Linked DNA regions of Lytechinus pictus. The protein of the gene in region 2 interacts with the protein of the main gene of each other region in a biochemical or structural test. Links are inferred from orthologs where the notes say so. Each region holds a gene or a part of one and is shown on either strand. Other genes may lie near its edges.

Region 1 (7,716 bases), on a different chromosome or scaffold from region 2:
ACATGTATGGGTTGTATCTAGTTGCCGAGAAGGTTTTGGCAGGTTGTGATTAGTGATGTACAGTATATGTAGGAAGTGTCTTCAGTCATTTCTACAGATATCAGCAATCTCTGACCTTAACGGTAGAATACAAGAGAGTGTCTCTATGGAGAATTCTCCATTTCCACAAGTACTGTATATAATTTTCATATTTGGGATAGCAAGTGCGAAATTTTCTTGATTGTATTTCCTCTAGTTGTCATTTTTAAAGCACTGAAATAAAGGCGATATGCATGCTGTAGTCTTGGCGAAGAACAAAGAAAACAAGATGGCGACGTAAACACGGTGGCAAGTATTCCCCGTCTTTTCATAATAATTTTCTCGTTTTTTTAATGAATTCTTGTTTAAAAATGAAATCAATATCGTAGAAATGTCGGAAATTGAAGTTGTATCCCATTTACATGATTAAGGGCTAGATCTTTTCGAAGGAAAGTAGAAATCTCTGGGAAAAATTTCAGTTTTTTTCGCGGTACACACACATGAATGGGAACGCATTCCCTGCCTCCATGGAGAGTAAGCATACATGTACGTTAGTACATGTAGTTCTAAATGATTTTTACTCTCTAGGAGCCTCCTGGCTAGGCGGCCGTCACATGGCAAAACGATGTACCGGTATCTGAATATTTTGACTTTTTCAGGTTTTGACATTTGGTGGGGTTTTTCAGGGAGCTCTTTTCATTTATCTTACTCTCATAATTACAGGTATTTTAGTTTTCAAGATACATTTGTAGCTTGGGCTATCTGCAGTACTTTTTTCAAATTTGCCTACTCGTTTGATGGTAAAAGGATGTATCTTACAGATACACTCCAAAAGTGCCGCAGAAGAGCGCAATGATCTTTGGTAAAAAGATGTATCTGTTAGTTACACTTTTCTTCCATCAAATGAGTGAGCGCACCCAGCTTCGTGAAATATGGCAAAAGGATGTATCTGCAACATATATTTTTACCATAATCGGTGAACCACGAACTTCATAGACTAGTTGATGGCAAAAAGATGTATCTGCACAACATACAAACTGTGTGCCACGAATTTCAGAGACTAGTTTATGGCAAAACAGTGTACATGTATCTGCAACCTACTGTACATCTTTTTCCACAAATTGTGCCAACAAAAGTCAGATACTAGTTTATGGTAAAAGTGTGTATGTGCAAATTACACCCTTTTACCAGTTGTCATATCTTTAAAGTTTTAAAGGCTTGTTTCATGGCTAAATTGAATTTGACCTTAAACACAAAATGATGTATTTTTGATCTGCAAATACATCACTTTGCCATGATTCAACCATAGAAACTAATCGATGTACATGTATGTGCAGATACACCTTTTTGCCATGATATCGCTGTAGGAATTGTATGATGTACATGTATCTGCAGATATATCATTTTGCCATAAACGTAGGACTAATGTGGACAGTTGAATATCTTGGCTACATGATGGTGTATCTACATAAAAAAAGTTATTTTGATGAAAAACAAAAGTTAAATGTTATAAAAACTATTAAGGGAGATGAATTCAATGACATTCTTATAAATCTAAATTATCTAACTAAATTCAACACTGGGAAATTTTCTTTTGAAGACAAAAGCTGTAACTTCAAAGTGATTTTTCTAAGAATGTGCATTTTGCAGATACATGTACATCGTTTTGCCGTGTAACGGCCGTAGGTGTATACATGTAGAGACAGTGATTTTCCGTTTAAAAAAATGGTCTTTTCCATTTCTGAAAATCTGTTATTCTGTTTCAACTTGATCTAAAAATGGAAATTCTGTTTTGTCACTGAAAATGCACACAGCAAAAACCTGAATTCCATTTTGCAAAGGTGAATTCCATGAATTTTTACATGAAAAGTACAAGAACCAACAGAATTTCCGTTTTACATGTATGTACCGGTAAAACGGAAAATCACTGTCCCTACATGTAGGTGTACTGGTATTGGTAAGCTGATTGTTGGTATAGTCCAGAATTCATTGTTGCATATTTTGTTTTCATTCTTATGCCCTTTATCATCTATCAAAAGGGGGAACTGAGCAGTTCATTCAGAACTCGGTCAGAACAAGTGACAACTGCTATTAAAGAGTAAAGTTAGGCTAAAAGACCACTCACACGTATTGTGAGGTTAGTAGGGCTTTTAGCGATATCAATAACCTTTCTCTCTTGATCAATAATACCCGCAATTATGTAGGGACACAGTGATTTTCCACGATTTCACGGAATTCACGGAAATGGCCCTTTGAAAGTGGCGTTTCAAACGGAAAACATATTTTTCATCAAACTGCACAGAACAGCAACAGAAATTACTCAAAAATCTCACAAAAATACTAGCCACAAAACACGATCTCACCCCACTTTGTTATTATTATAGCGAATCCAAACATCGTGACTGCACTCGACTCTATTCGATCGAATCGAAAACATCACAAGCGCAAGCTCAACTAACGTAGGACAGCCGAGCTGTGTGTTGCTGCCCTCTATGTTTGAACATGTACAGCACGATATCAAAATGGCTGATAATCAAAAGATGTTGACTGCTCAGAACGATGTCCAAAAAGCCCCAAAATTATCGATAAAACTTCATCCAACCCTAAAAAAATGCCAATAACGTGAAAGGTGAGGATGTATTTTTGCTATTGTTAAAGATGCCATGTAGCCATTTACATCCGATGAACGCGTATTTCAAAGCATTATTGGTACAGTGGCAGATACAAATTTTGGCCAACGCGAGTATGTGACATCGCTATAATGCATAAAAATGCGTATTGATTATGTTCTTTTGTCGATATCGTTAAGATACTTTAAGCATGATATCGACAGAGAATTTTCTCAACGATAACAGCCCTCGAGGTTAGTATGCTATACTACATGTAACCTTGCACTACAAACGTGTCTACGCGTGGATATTTTAGTTGTCAGTTAACACCGCTTCATAATGGATTTAATGTTATCCGAAACTCATTCCGCTACTCACCAGGGGTTTTTCTGGTGATGGGCGTTCCATTTAGAATTTTTATATCATAGCACATAAAAGAGCAAAATCGCTTACCTCGGCCAGGAAAGTGGCTTCGCATGTCTCTTCCACGGAAATGAGAGGAAGGTCATTGGTGGCGCTAATACAATTCACAACCTTAATTCAGCTCGTCTGTATTTTATAACTAGAAAAAGTCAAGATTCTAGATTCATTGTACATGTATGCGATATTCCCATGATTGTTTGATAAAATGTAGACACCAATAAATGCAATAACTTAAAAACATACTTTTTAGATTATTTTTGCTGACGATAATACTTTTTGAAACATTCAAAGCGATGACAAATAAAACAAAAAAATAGACAATTCTATGTGCCTTGAACGAAGCCAGCAGTGCTACTGTTCGTTTGTCAACGAACTTTCCACCAAAGTCTTTACTATAAAAAGATTGGACACTTTGCCGACTTCGCGTAACGCTTTGCATCGATTTACGTGTAAAATAGTTTTTGTGGCTAGTCCTTTCAATCTAGTGTCTTTGATATGAAGATAAATCGCGCGCCCTCTTTAGCTAATTGGATGAAAAGTTTTGGAAATTAAAAGACGGATCCATATTTTATCAATGAAAAGAGAAATCAGCGATTAAATGACGCTATTTGAGAGATATGCATGATTTGGGGAATTGACTTCACATCGTTCGGTAAGTTTTGTAGAAGGACTTGATTTTATAAAACCTCTTTTTAAATTCGCGGGATTGCCATGCAATTGTTGCAATTTTGTATGCGCTGTGCCTTCAATTTTCTTGTAAAGCACCCATGGCCAGGGTGGGCTAAGCCTAAGAGTAAGATCGTAGACGAGAGTAAGAACTAACAAGTGGAATGCCTCTGGCCGTCTCACCTGCATCACGCGATTCAATATAGCAGCAGTGCTGATTTTGAAAACTACTATAACTCGCACAAGATGTTCAGTGATACTTGGTTACTCTTATTTCCACGTTTTATGAACTAGACCAATACACTTATAGAGATATGATGGCAATTCAACAAATACCCCCAACGTGGCCAAAGTTCTTTGACCTTACATGACCTTTGACCTTGATCATGTGACCTAAAACTCGCACAGGATGTTCAGTGATACTTGATTACTATTATGTCCAAGTTTTATGAACTAGACCAACACACTTTCAAATTTATGGCTGTAATTCAACAAATACCCCAATTTGGCCAAAGTTCATTGACCCTAAATGACCTTTGACCTTGATCATGTGACCTGAAACTTGCACAGGATGTTCAGTAATACTTGATTACTATTATGTCCAAGTTTCATGAATCAGCTCCATAAACTTTCAAAGTTATGATGGTAATTCAACAGATACCCCCAATTCGGCCAAAGTTCATTGACCCTAAATGACCTTTGACCTTGGTCATGTGATGTGAAACTCATGCAGGATGTTCAGTGATACTTGATTAACCTTATGTATAAGTTTCATGAACTAGGTCCATATATTTTCTAAGTTATGATGACATTTCAAAAACTTAACCTTAGGTTAAGATTTTGATGTTGATTCCCCCAACATGGTCTAAGTTCATTGACCCTAAATGACCTTTGACCTTGGTCATGTGACATGAAACTCAGGCAGGATGTTCAGTAATACTTGATTAACCTTATGGCCAAGTTTCATGAACTAGGTCCATATACTTTCTAAGTTATGCTGTCATTTCAAAAACTTAACCTCAGGTTAAGATTTGGTGTTGACGCCGCCGCCGCCGCCGCCGCCGTCGGAAAAGCGGCGCCTATAGTCTCACTCTGCTATGCAGGTGAGACAAAAATAGTAAGACTAAGACTCTAAAGAGTAAGACTAAGACAAGTGCTACACAGTCCGACCTCTCTTATCCTGCCTCTCCTTATCCGGATCTCTCTATTATCCGGAGATTTCTTTTTTTTCAATTCAATCTAGTACGTGAGGAAATGAGATTTCAATCTAAACTCAATCCTATACAAAAACTCACTTTGATTACATATATTTTCCAATATAGTCTACCTACAACAGCATTATTTTTCAGAACTTAGGCAAAATAACTTTCCAGTAAATCAGGGCGCAGCGCAAACAATTCATCACGTTCTCTTTTGTTTCCCGGGAAAAACAATGCATGTCTCGCTAGCTAACGCTAGGACTCAATACGGACAGCGCCATCTATCATATCATGTTTGAGCCTACAGTCAGTATAACAATGGCTGACATTGCGAAGCTACGATACCCGTCGCTTTGATCTAATTGTAAAACCAGGTAACAGTGGGTCAAAGAATTGTGACTGGTACTGTAGTTTCATCGAGTCATTCTCTTTCTTTTGAGGTATGCTCGATGTATACCTCAATCATTTTAGCAGGTAAATCATCCAACAGTTTTTGCCATCGATCGGTTTCATTTCCGTAAAAATACCGCCTATAATTTGCACTGACGCTGCAGTGAATACTGTCTGTACACCCTAGATAACCTGCACTGCAGCTACCGCCGTTTGTTGGGGAGGCTATAGAGTACCGAAGTGTGACGTCAGTTGACATGGTGTCATGGCGGGCTGGTTCTAAACAGAATCGCACCCGACTATCGTCTGTACACATTTTGGCTCCTCTGAAAAATAGATTGCAAGCGATCATTCCGATAGCAGCCATTTTCTCCTATGACAAACGCACGCTTTCATTCTGGGTTCATTTGTTTAGAACCAGGCCGCCATGACACTCATTCTGGGTTCATTTGTTTAGAACCAGGCCGCCATGACACCATGGCAACTGACGTCATCGCTTCGGTACTCTATAGCCAGGCGGCTTCTAGAGAATAAAAATCATTTACTAACGTAAGGTTACTCTCATACGAAGCCAGGCAGCCCTCCCCATTCATCTGCGTGTACCGCAAAAAACCCTGAAACTTTCGCCCCCGAGATTTCTACTTTCCTTCTAAAAGATCTAGCTCTAAATCATGTAAATGGGATAAAACTTCATTTCCGACATTTCTACGCTCTCGTTGTTATTTTTAAAACAAGAATTCATCAAAAAAATGAAAAAATATTGTGAAAAGACGGAAGAGACTTGCCCGATGTTTACGCCGCCATCTTGTTTCTTATTGTACTTCCCCAACGTTACGGATGCGAGCGTCGCGTAACGTTGGGGAAGTACAATAAGAAACAAGAAACAAGTATTCAACCTGGCATAATTCAAAGATTTTGACATATTCCCCAAAATATTTAGAAATAGGGAATTTATCTTAATTTCACACCTTTGTTATTTCCAGAGTAATCTGTTGTCGATATTTTCTTTGTCAATCTGTCGACTGTATGCGCGGAGGATCGAATTATGCGGCGATGGCCTTTTGCACTGAATGGTACTAGTATTCAACCTAGTGAGGATTGATAGCAAATCTCAAAAGGGTTTAGATTGCTAAATTAGATCTAGATCTATGTAAATCTCTGGCTTTGATTAATTCCCTGTTTGGTCTCATCTCAAATGGTCTAGTCCATAGTCGGATGGGACAAGGGCAGATTGAGAGACAGGGCCATCTTTCATCGCTAGGTTGAATACTAGTGCCGACGGGTTGAATACTACTTACTAGTACCAAAATCCGTCGCCGACTATAATTCGATCGCCCGCGCACACAGTCAACTGGTTGAAGAAAAAAATAACGGAAAAAGAATAACCAGCATTTGCTCTTGGAAATAAGACGGGTCTGAAATTCAGGTAAATTCTATATTTCTATATATTTGAGGAAACTCTCCAAACGGGTTGAATACTAGTGCCCTTACGGTACACGCAGATGAATGGGGAGGACTGCCTGGCTTCGTATGAGAGTAACCTTACGTTAGAAAATGATTTTTACTCTCTAGAAGCCGCCTGGCTAGGGAGGCAGCAGCTGCGTGTATTTAAAGGAGAATGAAACCCTTGAAACCAGCTGAATCCATATCAAAGAGAAAAATCAAAGAAACATATTGTTGAAAATTTGAGGAAGATTGAATGAATAATATTATAGGAGTGGGCTATAAATGGGTGATTTTTGGTTTTACTGTGGGAACAGTTTTTTTGTGTTCCTTTTACCTTATCTCAACATGAAATGACAATATTTTTTGTCTCGGGTCCGAGAAAAAAGTGTGCCGGGCCAAAATCCAAAATGGCCGCCAAAACCCCCCAAAATCACAGTTTTGGCCACAACTTTTTTATTTGGTGGTCAATTTCTCTGGTTTTGGTGTCTATTCATATGTTTTGGGGGGCAGGCAATTTGTTTTTCCTATAATAAGTACTTTTAAACCATTATTTGTAGAGTTAAAAGGTAATTATACCTAAATTTTCCCATTTTTGTAGCCTTTTTTCAGCCAAAAAGTGGGTTTTATCATCCTGGGGTTCTGGGATATTAGATGGTAGGAGGTCAACAATAGCAAGCAGCTTCATATAGCTATATTGCTTTTATTCCTCCATTTTGGGTTTTTAAGGATATTTGTGAAATATATCTCATCAAATAAAAGAAAATGTCATTTATCCATAGGGGCTATACGGTGTACAATGCACTGTACATACTACATGTACACTGCATATATCCATGCATTGACCACCATGGCATATGTCAAGGCCTGTATATAAACTATAGTGTCATAGAAATGAGCTTCAAAGGTTTAGAATTAGATTGTGAATTTGATTCCTTGTCAGCTGATGTACATGATGAAACCAGCAA
Region 2 (7,547 bases):
TTCTATCATTTTAAGGGCTACTTTTCAGAGGCAACTAGCAATTATGCAGTAAAAGCAAATATTATAATGCCATAGTTAGAATTAGATTTTCTAAATAAGTTTGAATATTGTTTGTGAAAGGTCGCGGGGTGACTCTAGAAAGAATGGTCGCCCCAAAGCATTTTTAAGGGAATTTTAGGGGCGATTACAGCAGTTATGAGGACAAAATCGCCCGTCGCCCTCATCTATTCCTTTTGCTGTTAAGGATTTACTTTTAAATCTCAAAACATTGAAATTAAAATCTATTAGCTATATTCAAATCCACAAGATTTAAAAATAGATCTAATATTTGGCCGATCACTATTCACAGCTGATCCAGATTTATTTTTAAATCCTTGGAATTTAGAGTGTATGAGTCAATAAACTTTTGATCAAACCCGAATTAAAATAAATACTAAATATTAGTAGAAAATTTGCTTCATCAAATCAATACTGGTAAAATATTGTACTTGTAAGCTCCTCACTAAACTAGTACAAATGTAAACATTACTATGAATTTACAAATTATATATTTTCCCTCATTTATTGATGGAAAATAATTATGCCAAGGCTTCAGTCACAACAATGAGTAGCCTGCTCAGGCACCGCTGGAATCTAGACAAGATATTTGTAGAAGTCTAGCGAGCTGTAGGTTAATACCTATTATATACTCAAGGCCAAATGTGGGTCAAATCAGGGGAACTTTTCTGTTTGGTGTCCAAGCAGTGATCAGCTGATGACCCACTGATTCCCGGGTAGTCTCCCACCGGCCACCGGCCTATTTTTAAGTAATCGCCCAGCCGATCTTGAATTCGCCGCGAGATCATCGACCGATCTCTGAGCGGCCAGTGGCCGGAGACCAGCCAGTGACCTTCAACAGTCTTTGATCCAACAAGTTCAATGCCTAAATCATTCGATGTTGACCGCTCGATTACGTTGGCACCCAGACAGCGACCACCCGCGCACCGAGCGTATTCAAGGCAGTGAGTGATAAAAGAACAGGTGCCTCCAGAATTTTAACTCCGTGCTTAATAATCTTTAGCGACGACTGAGCGATGCCAAAAAAAACCAGTGGTGCCCAGACGGCCGCCGCTCTGTGCCCAGGCGAAATTGGCTAAAAACTCACCGAACAGGCTAATTTGAGGGGGTGTGACCGTAGCCTAAAGTAGAGGGTTCAATCCAGGAATATGGACCATGCGAAATGTACATCTTCCAACTTTATTAAAAAAAAAACACTTGGGGCCTGAGATTACTTTACTTACCAAAATGGCCAGAAAAGGACTATAAAAAAATCCTCATAAACAAGCCCACTGCACAAAAGGGCCCCCCTCATTTCTTAATGTTCCAGTTTAAATGTTCAACACTATCAAAAGAGCTACGAAGGTCATTATCAACTATGTATGATCTGCCATAATATCATGATTAGAATAAATGTACCCCAACAGATATGGCATTAGTTTGTCTGAGGTACACCCAGCATTACAGGTAAGGGTGTGATTTATTCACGGACTAATTTTTTACAACCCAGTTTGAATGTTGAGACTGAAATGCAATTAAATAGGCAATGGCTCACTGCCAAAAACCCAGACTTCAAAGGAGAAGTTCAAATTTACAGCGTTGATCAGAGTCAATGAAAAAAGTAGGGAGGAGCAAGTTATTCTACTCACTCAAACCATGGACCTATTGTAGGTCCATGCTCAAACAAGCTGAACCCCCGAGGGGGGGGGGGGCTAAATTCCCCAAAATTTTTATGATCAATCCATAGTGAAAAGCTTGCAATTAATTGATTCATGACTTTTTTCTTTCAAGTCTTACCTAGTTTTTTAGACAAAACTTGCAACCCCCGGATACGCAGTTCAAAAATTTCTTATTTATACATTATTTTAAAAATATCAAATTTCAATACTTCCATGTCTACTTTTCAATAGTAATGCAAAGTTTAGTTGTAACCTCTTTCTCCAAAACTAATTACAATGTACCTCACACATCCATCAACTGAATTTATTTTTTCCTAATCTGAATGTAGTTCCCCTTTTTAAAAGCACTCTCCTTACTATGAACAGATAAATTATAAAGTGCATTCGTGATCAAGTATTTGTTTTCGTTTTGAAACTTCTCAAATTAAAAACCAGCACTGGGAATTAGATTAATTTCTAATTTAAGAACAACTTAACCATTATCTTCATCGAATTTCTAATAACTGATTATTTTTCCCAAACGATTAGACCTCAGATCATTAACACTTGAAGACTATTATGTAGCAGGATATAATAATAGCATACTTCTTTAACCAAGGAAATGCCATTCAGAGTAAAGTGAATCGTATAACAATGGCACACTTGAGAGCAAAAATTTGTTATTCTCCATGTAACGACAGAAAGATAAAGACACTGCACTTTACAGATATAAACATATACATATCATTAACAACAATGGATGCGTATAATCTTGGTATCATGAATAAAAGCCATGTCTTGCCTTTTCAAGCACAAGATTGAATTATATTGTTCTGCTTCTTAGCTGCTTATTTGTTAATGTTTTATTTCAAATGTTAATCTTGTATTTCATTTTTTATTATTTGAATTGAATTGGGAATATCAAAATAGTAATAACTGAGTGTCATGTACTTCCAATTATGAATACATGCGATATACAAGTGGCCATTATCACCATCATCACCATCATCATCATCATCATCATCATCACCATCATCATCACCATCCCCATCATCAGCATCAGAATCACCATCACCATCATCATCATCAATTCATCATCACCATCATCATCATCATAACCACCATCATCACCATCATTATCACCATCATCACCACTATCATCATCATCATCATCATCTTCATCATCATCATCATCATCATCATCATTTTCATCATCATCATCATCACCATCGTCGTCTTCATCATCATCATCATCATCATCATTTTCATCATCATCATCAATATTTTATCAAATAATATATCTTGAAAAATGAAAGTATTTGTAATCTACTCACTCTTTATAATAAATGAATTAAAAATATTTACCGATGGTAATCCAACAACCTCCATCGCTCTGATCCACTGCACTGTGTTATCCGTGTGTCTAAAATGAAGTCCTTTGGCCTAAAAAAATAAAAATATTTAAAAACCTTACAAAAAGGTGTAAACATATAGGAAAATTCATGTGAAAAAGGAACAAGCGGAACATTATCCGGGGAGCGTTTCATAAACATTTTCTTCCGAAAAGTTGTCAGGTCTGACAACTTTCCTTGATAATGATTGGCTGAGAGGCACTGTTACCATAGTTACTGTCGGATAAAACAGTACTTGTCGGATAAAAAATCTAACAAGTCCTTTCATGAAACGCTCCCCTGATCATTGACTTTCAAGGCATAATAATATTCTTTTTTTTTTAGATTGTGAAAGAAAAAAAAACACTCTATAGACATCCGCAGCAGAAAAAAACACTTGAATTCCATTCAAATACTGTCATGTCGGTGCAAGAACACCATTAACACCATACTTTTGTACATCGCATGCGCGCAAAAACGCCCTGAGTAGCAAGCATTAGGGCATTGCGTAAGGGCGATCCTGCACCAATGGGGTGTGTGGAGATGTTTTGCTAAGGGCGTTCTTGCACCGACAGGACGATATGGCCTTCTTGGTAGTAATGAAAAAATATATATATCAATTATTGTATATGCTTCTATCAGATAAAATCCTAGAAATTATTATCTCTTACTTGTGTTCTGAACACATAATACTAATACCTAATAAAAGAGTGCTGTATAGACCTGGGTCCCGTAACACAAAGATTAGTGAATAATCGTACGCTTGATTTTCACGATTGATTGTACATTGTAGTCAACGCAATCAATCGTAGAAAAATGTTCTACGATCATTGCCAAGTTTTGTGTTACGGGCCTCAGGTGTGGGTTTCTTAAACTGTTCATAAGTTTACGAACGACTTTGAGAATGACTGATGATCCTTTCTTAGGAACTACATTAACGCCTATGAAAATCTGCTGTATTTCATTTACCACAAGAAAGGGTCACCAGTTGTACGTAAAGTCACTCGTTAGCATACGAACAGCTTCATGAAAGACCCACCTGGTTGTAGACAAACTAGAAATAGACCAAACACAAACAGTTATGATTGATCCAATCAATCGTAACTCTATGGAAATCCATGAGGGCCATAATTTTTCTACAAGAAATTTGCACAATGTCTTTTGTAAACAAAAGAGAACACACCAAATCATCAAGAAATCAATGAATTTATGGATACACATTCATATCTAGCCATTTTTTAAAACAAACATGCATTTTATAGGTTGACTTTGCTGGCTGTCCATAGTTGTGATTGATCGGATCAATCGTAACTCTTTGTAAGACGGGGCCCTGGGGGCTCTTTCATAGAGCTGGTCGTAACTTGAGAGTGACTTTAAGAACAACTGGGGATCCTTGCTTTCGGGTAAATGATATTCACCATTAAATGTTCATTGGTGATATTTAGAGCGTAAGAAAGGTTCGCCAGTCATACGAAAAGTCTCTCGTAACTTGCCAACAGCTTCATGAAACACCCATCCAGGTCCCATAATAATACCGGTTGATCAGGGACTGATTTCCATGTTTTATTGCATTGATTATTGTGCACGATCAATCACAAAAATCTGCCACAAGATCAATCGCTTAATATTTATATGTCACAGGATCCTTGACCTATTCTTTTTCTTCTGGTGGAATTAGTTCTTTACATGCGTTTCAAGGTATATATATTTTTCTCAACTGTTCCCATCCTTTTTATTTTTTATGTTGAGTATTTCTTTTAACTGTCATGGAAAATATAACAAAGGAGAAATAAGCATGCAACTTCATCTCATCTATTTATACAACTGAACAACATTTAAAAAGCGTCGGCCCATGGACCGAAAAGTATTCTAACCTTTGGGAGCAAAGGAAAGCCGCATCAGCTTCCACTTTTGTTTGTTATCGACATCCAACAGTCCTAAATTGATCCTGATTGTTTCTGATAAAATGGAATCTTACAGCCTTGGGGGACTAAATACTATATTTAGAGATCTCTTTGGGAAGTACAGGGAACGAGGGGTAACGAGTGACCGAGCAGTAGAAGATAATCCTCCAACAATATCAATAAACTTAATTGACAAACAAAACAACCTGCTTTTTTATATATTTTAATATTGGGGAAAAAAACCAACAAGTCCCAAATTGGCAAGCTTTTTAATGAGGTTACATAATTCTCCCTTTTTTTGGCTCAGGCTCCCTTCCTCATCATTATTATCATTATTGTTGTTGTTGTTGCTACCATTATTATTAATTATTATTATTATTGTTGTTATTATTATTATCAATATTATTATTAATTATTATTATTATTGTTATTATCATTATTATTATCATCATTATTATTAATATTATTATTACTACTATTATCATTATCATTATTATCATTTTCACATTATCATGAATTATCATCATCATCATTTTAATTATTACTATTGTCATCTTCATCACCATCATTATTTCCAACAATGAAAACCAGGGATTTGAACATGACATCACTTGACAGATCATCTGGTCATTAAAACGAGGCATTGCTTTTCCCAAAAATTTCATACAGCGGTTTGTCACCCAGCTTGTATTTAATATAGGATGAGAATAGCGCTAAATGAACGTGACAAATATATTTTTAGTCTACATGTAAATGCTGAGCTTTAAAAAAAAAGAGCATGAATTAAAAAACCATTTTGAAACAGGCATGATTTATTTGTTAGTTATAGAGTTGTGATGCTTCGGTTTGCCTGTGATCAAAGATCATATCTCCCTAAAGGACACATGGGGCAACAAGGAAAGTGTCTGAAGCAGCTCCTCGGAGTGCAATCACCAAGACGCAAACTACCTTCTCTGTAGTCCGTTGCCATGGAAACATCTATTTTCATCCATTTCGGCGGAAGACAAAGAATCAACAGGAAGTGAGTTTGTTGCATGGTAACTGACTTGAGAAGTCAGGTGTGTTCAACTTTCTCAGGAATCACTTGCAAATCAGATAAGACTTTCCATTTCTGGTTTGTTCCTGTATTATGCGCTGGTGTGTTCTTCTCTATTCTCCAAATTTATGAAATACATGTAGATTCCTTTCACACAATCACCAGGGAAACTTGCACGAGTAGCGGGGAGGGGGGTGGTTTACACCCCATGATTGTATAAAAATTTAATTTATGCCTTGCCAAGAAAAACTGAACGAAAGAAATTATTTAAGTGGGGGTGTCGTCGTCTAGTGGTTATGACTCTCGTCTTTCAATCAGAGGCATGTGGGTTCGTATTCCAGCCATGGCGTGTTTTCCTTCAGCAAGAAATTTACCCACATTGTGCTGCACTCGACCCAGGCAAGGTGAATGAGTTCTCGGTAGGATTTATTCCTTGACACTTTAGTGTCGAAATGGCTTCTCAGCTAAGGCCGGGGTAATAATATGATATCAAGTATCAAAGCACAGCTGAGTATATGCATACAATAAATGTGCAATATAAATGGACATATTATTATTATCATTATTATCATTGCACCAAATAATAGTCACAGGGCTCGACATTACATGTAGCAGTGGCCCGGCGCAACCAAAAATGAGAGACGGGCCACCAAACTTCTGTAAAAGCCCACAATTGGTGGCCCAAAGTTTTTGGCTACCAAAGTTTTGCTAAATTGTACTGTTTTCTATTGTTTAGGGCCACCAAATTTGCTTTGCGGGTCATCAAAAATATGAAATTGATTGGGTCACCAAGAAAAAAAAGTTGGTGTGGAGCCTAGCAATTGATCACCAAAGGGTAGATCAAAATTCAAAACCTCATCTGAATGCCTTTATTTTGGTAATGTACATGAACTTGTCAGAAGAGAAGGCATTTATAAAGCAGGTCTGTCCATCATGAAGGCATCACATTATTTCATGGTAAGGGCAGCCTCATATAGAAACAAAATTGGGTCTCCATGAAAAATTACTCCATTAAAGGGCGCATGTTTCTTTTCATAAAGACCTACAAATATAGTATAAAATTAAGTTTTGAACAAAATTAACACTTGTCACTGCTGAATGAAATAAAGGTTATCTGCCTATGTTTGTTAATCTCATGTAAGCTTATCCATGTTTCAAACAAACATTCTCTTTGATTCTCCACATAGATCTATGAAATGAATCTTCCTCAAGTTCACTGCACTTGTAAAAGCTAATCCCTCTGGTCTATCCACTGCCCTTTCAAATTAGAGCGAGAGATAAAAACAATTAACAATGACCACAAGTACTAGCCATGGCTGATGATATGTCTGGTGTGGTTCGGTATATGCCCTCAATTCACACCATCAGAATTTATTGTACACCCAAGGAATTGGCACCAGGGAATAAAAATATGCGGGGGCTCAGGGCAGTCCCCCCCCCCCCCCCGAATGCTCAAAAGAGCCCTGGAAAATTTCCATTCAATGCAATGTCATAGCTTTCCAATGCTGTAAATTTATTCAGT

The links.
Region 1: the proteins of ras GTPase-activating-like protein IQGAP1 (region 2) and cdc42 homolog form a complex in vitro, tested with the Homo sapiens proteins (6 studies listed by BioGRID and IntAct). The link is inferred for Lytechinus pictus from reciprocal best matches to the Homo sapiens genes IQGAP1 and CDC42.

The regions. Positions count from the first base shown.
Region 1 is NC_087258.1:1,884,222-1,891,937, forward strand, and holds the start of cdc42 homolog, read right to left. Parts: upstream 3,190-7,716; 5' UTR 3,081-3,189; intron 1-3,080. UniProt on the Homo sapiens protein: Plasma membrane-associated small GTPase which cycles between an active GTP-bound and an inactive GDP-bound state. In active state binds to a variety of effector proteins to regulate cellular responses. Involved in epithelial cell polarization processes.
Region 2 is NC_087249.1:12,742,597-12,750,143, forward strand, and holds the start of ras GTPase-activating-like protein IQGAP1, read right to left. Parts: upstream 3,145-7,547; 5' UTR 3,084-3,144; coding exon 3,060-3,083; intron 1-3,059. UniProt on the Homo sapiens protein: Plays a crucial role in regulating the dynamics and assembly of the actin cytoskeleton.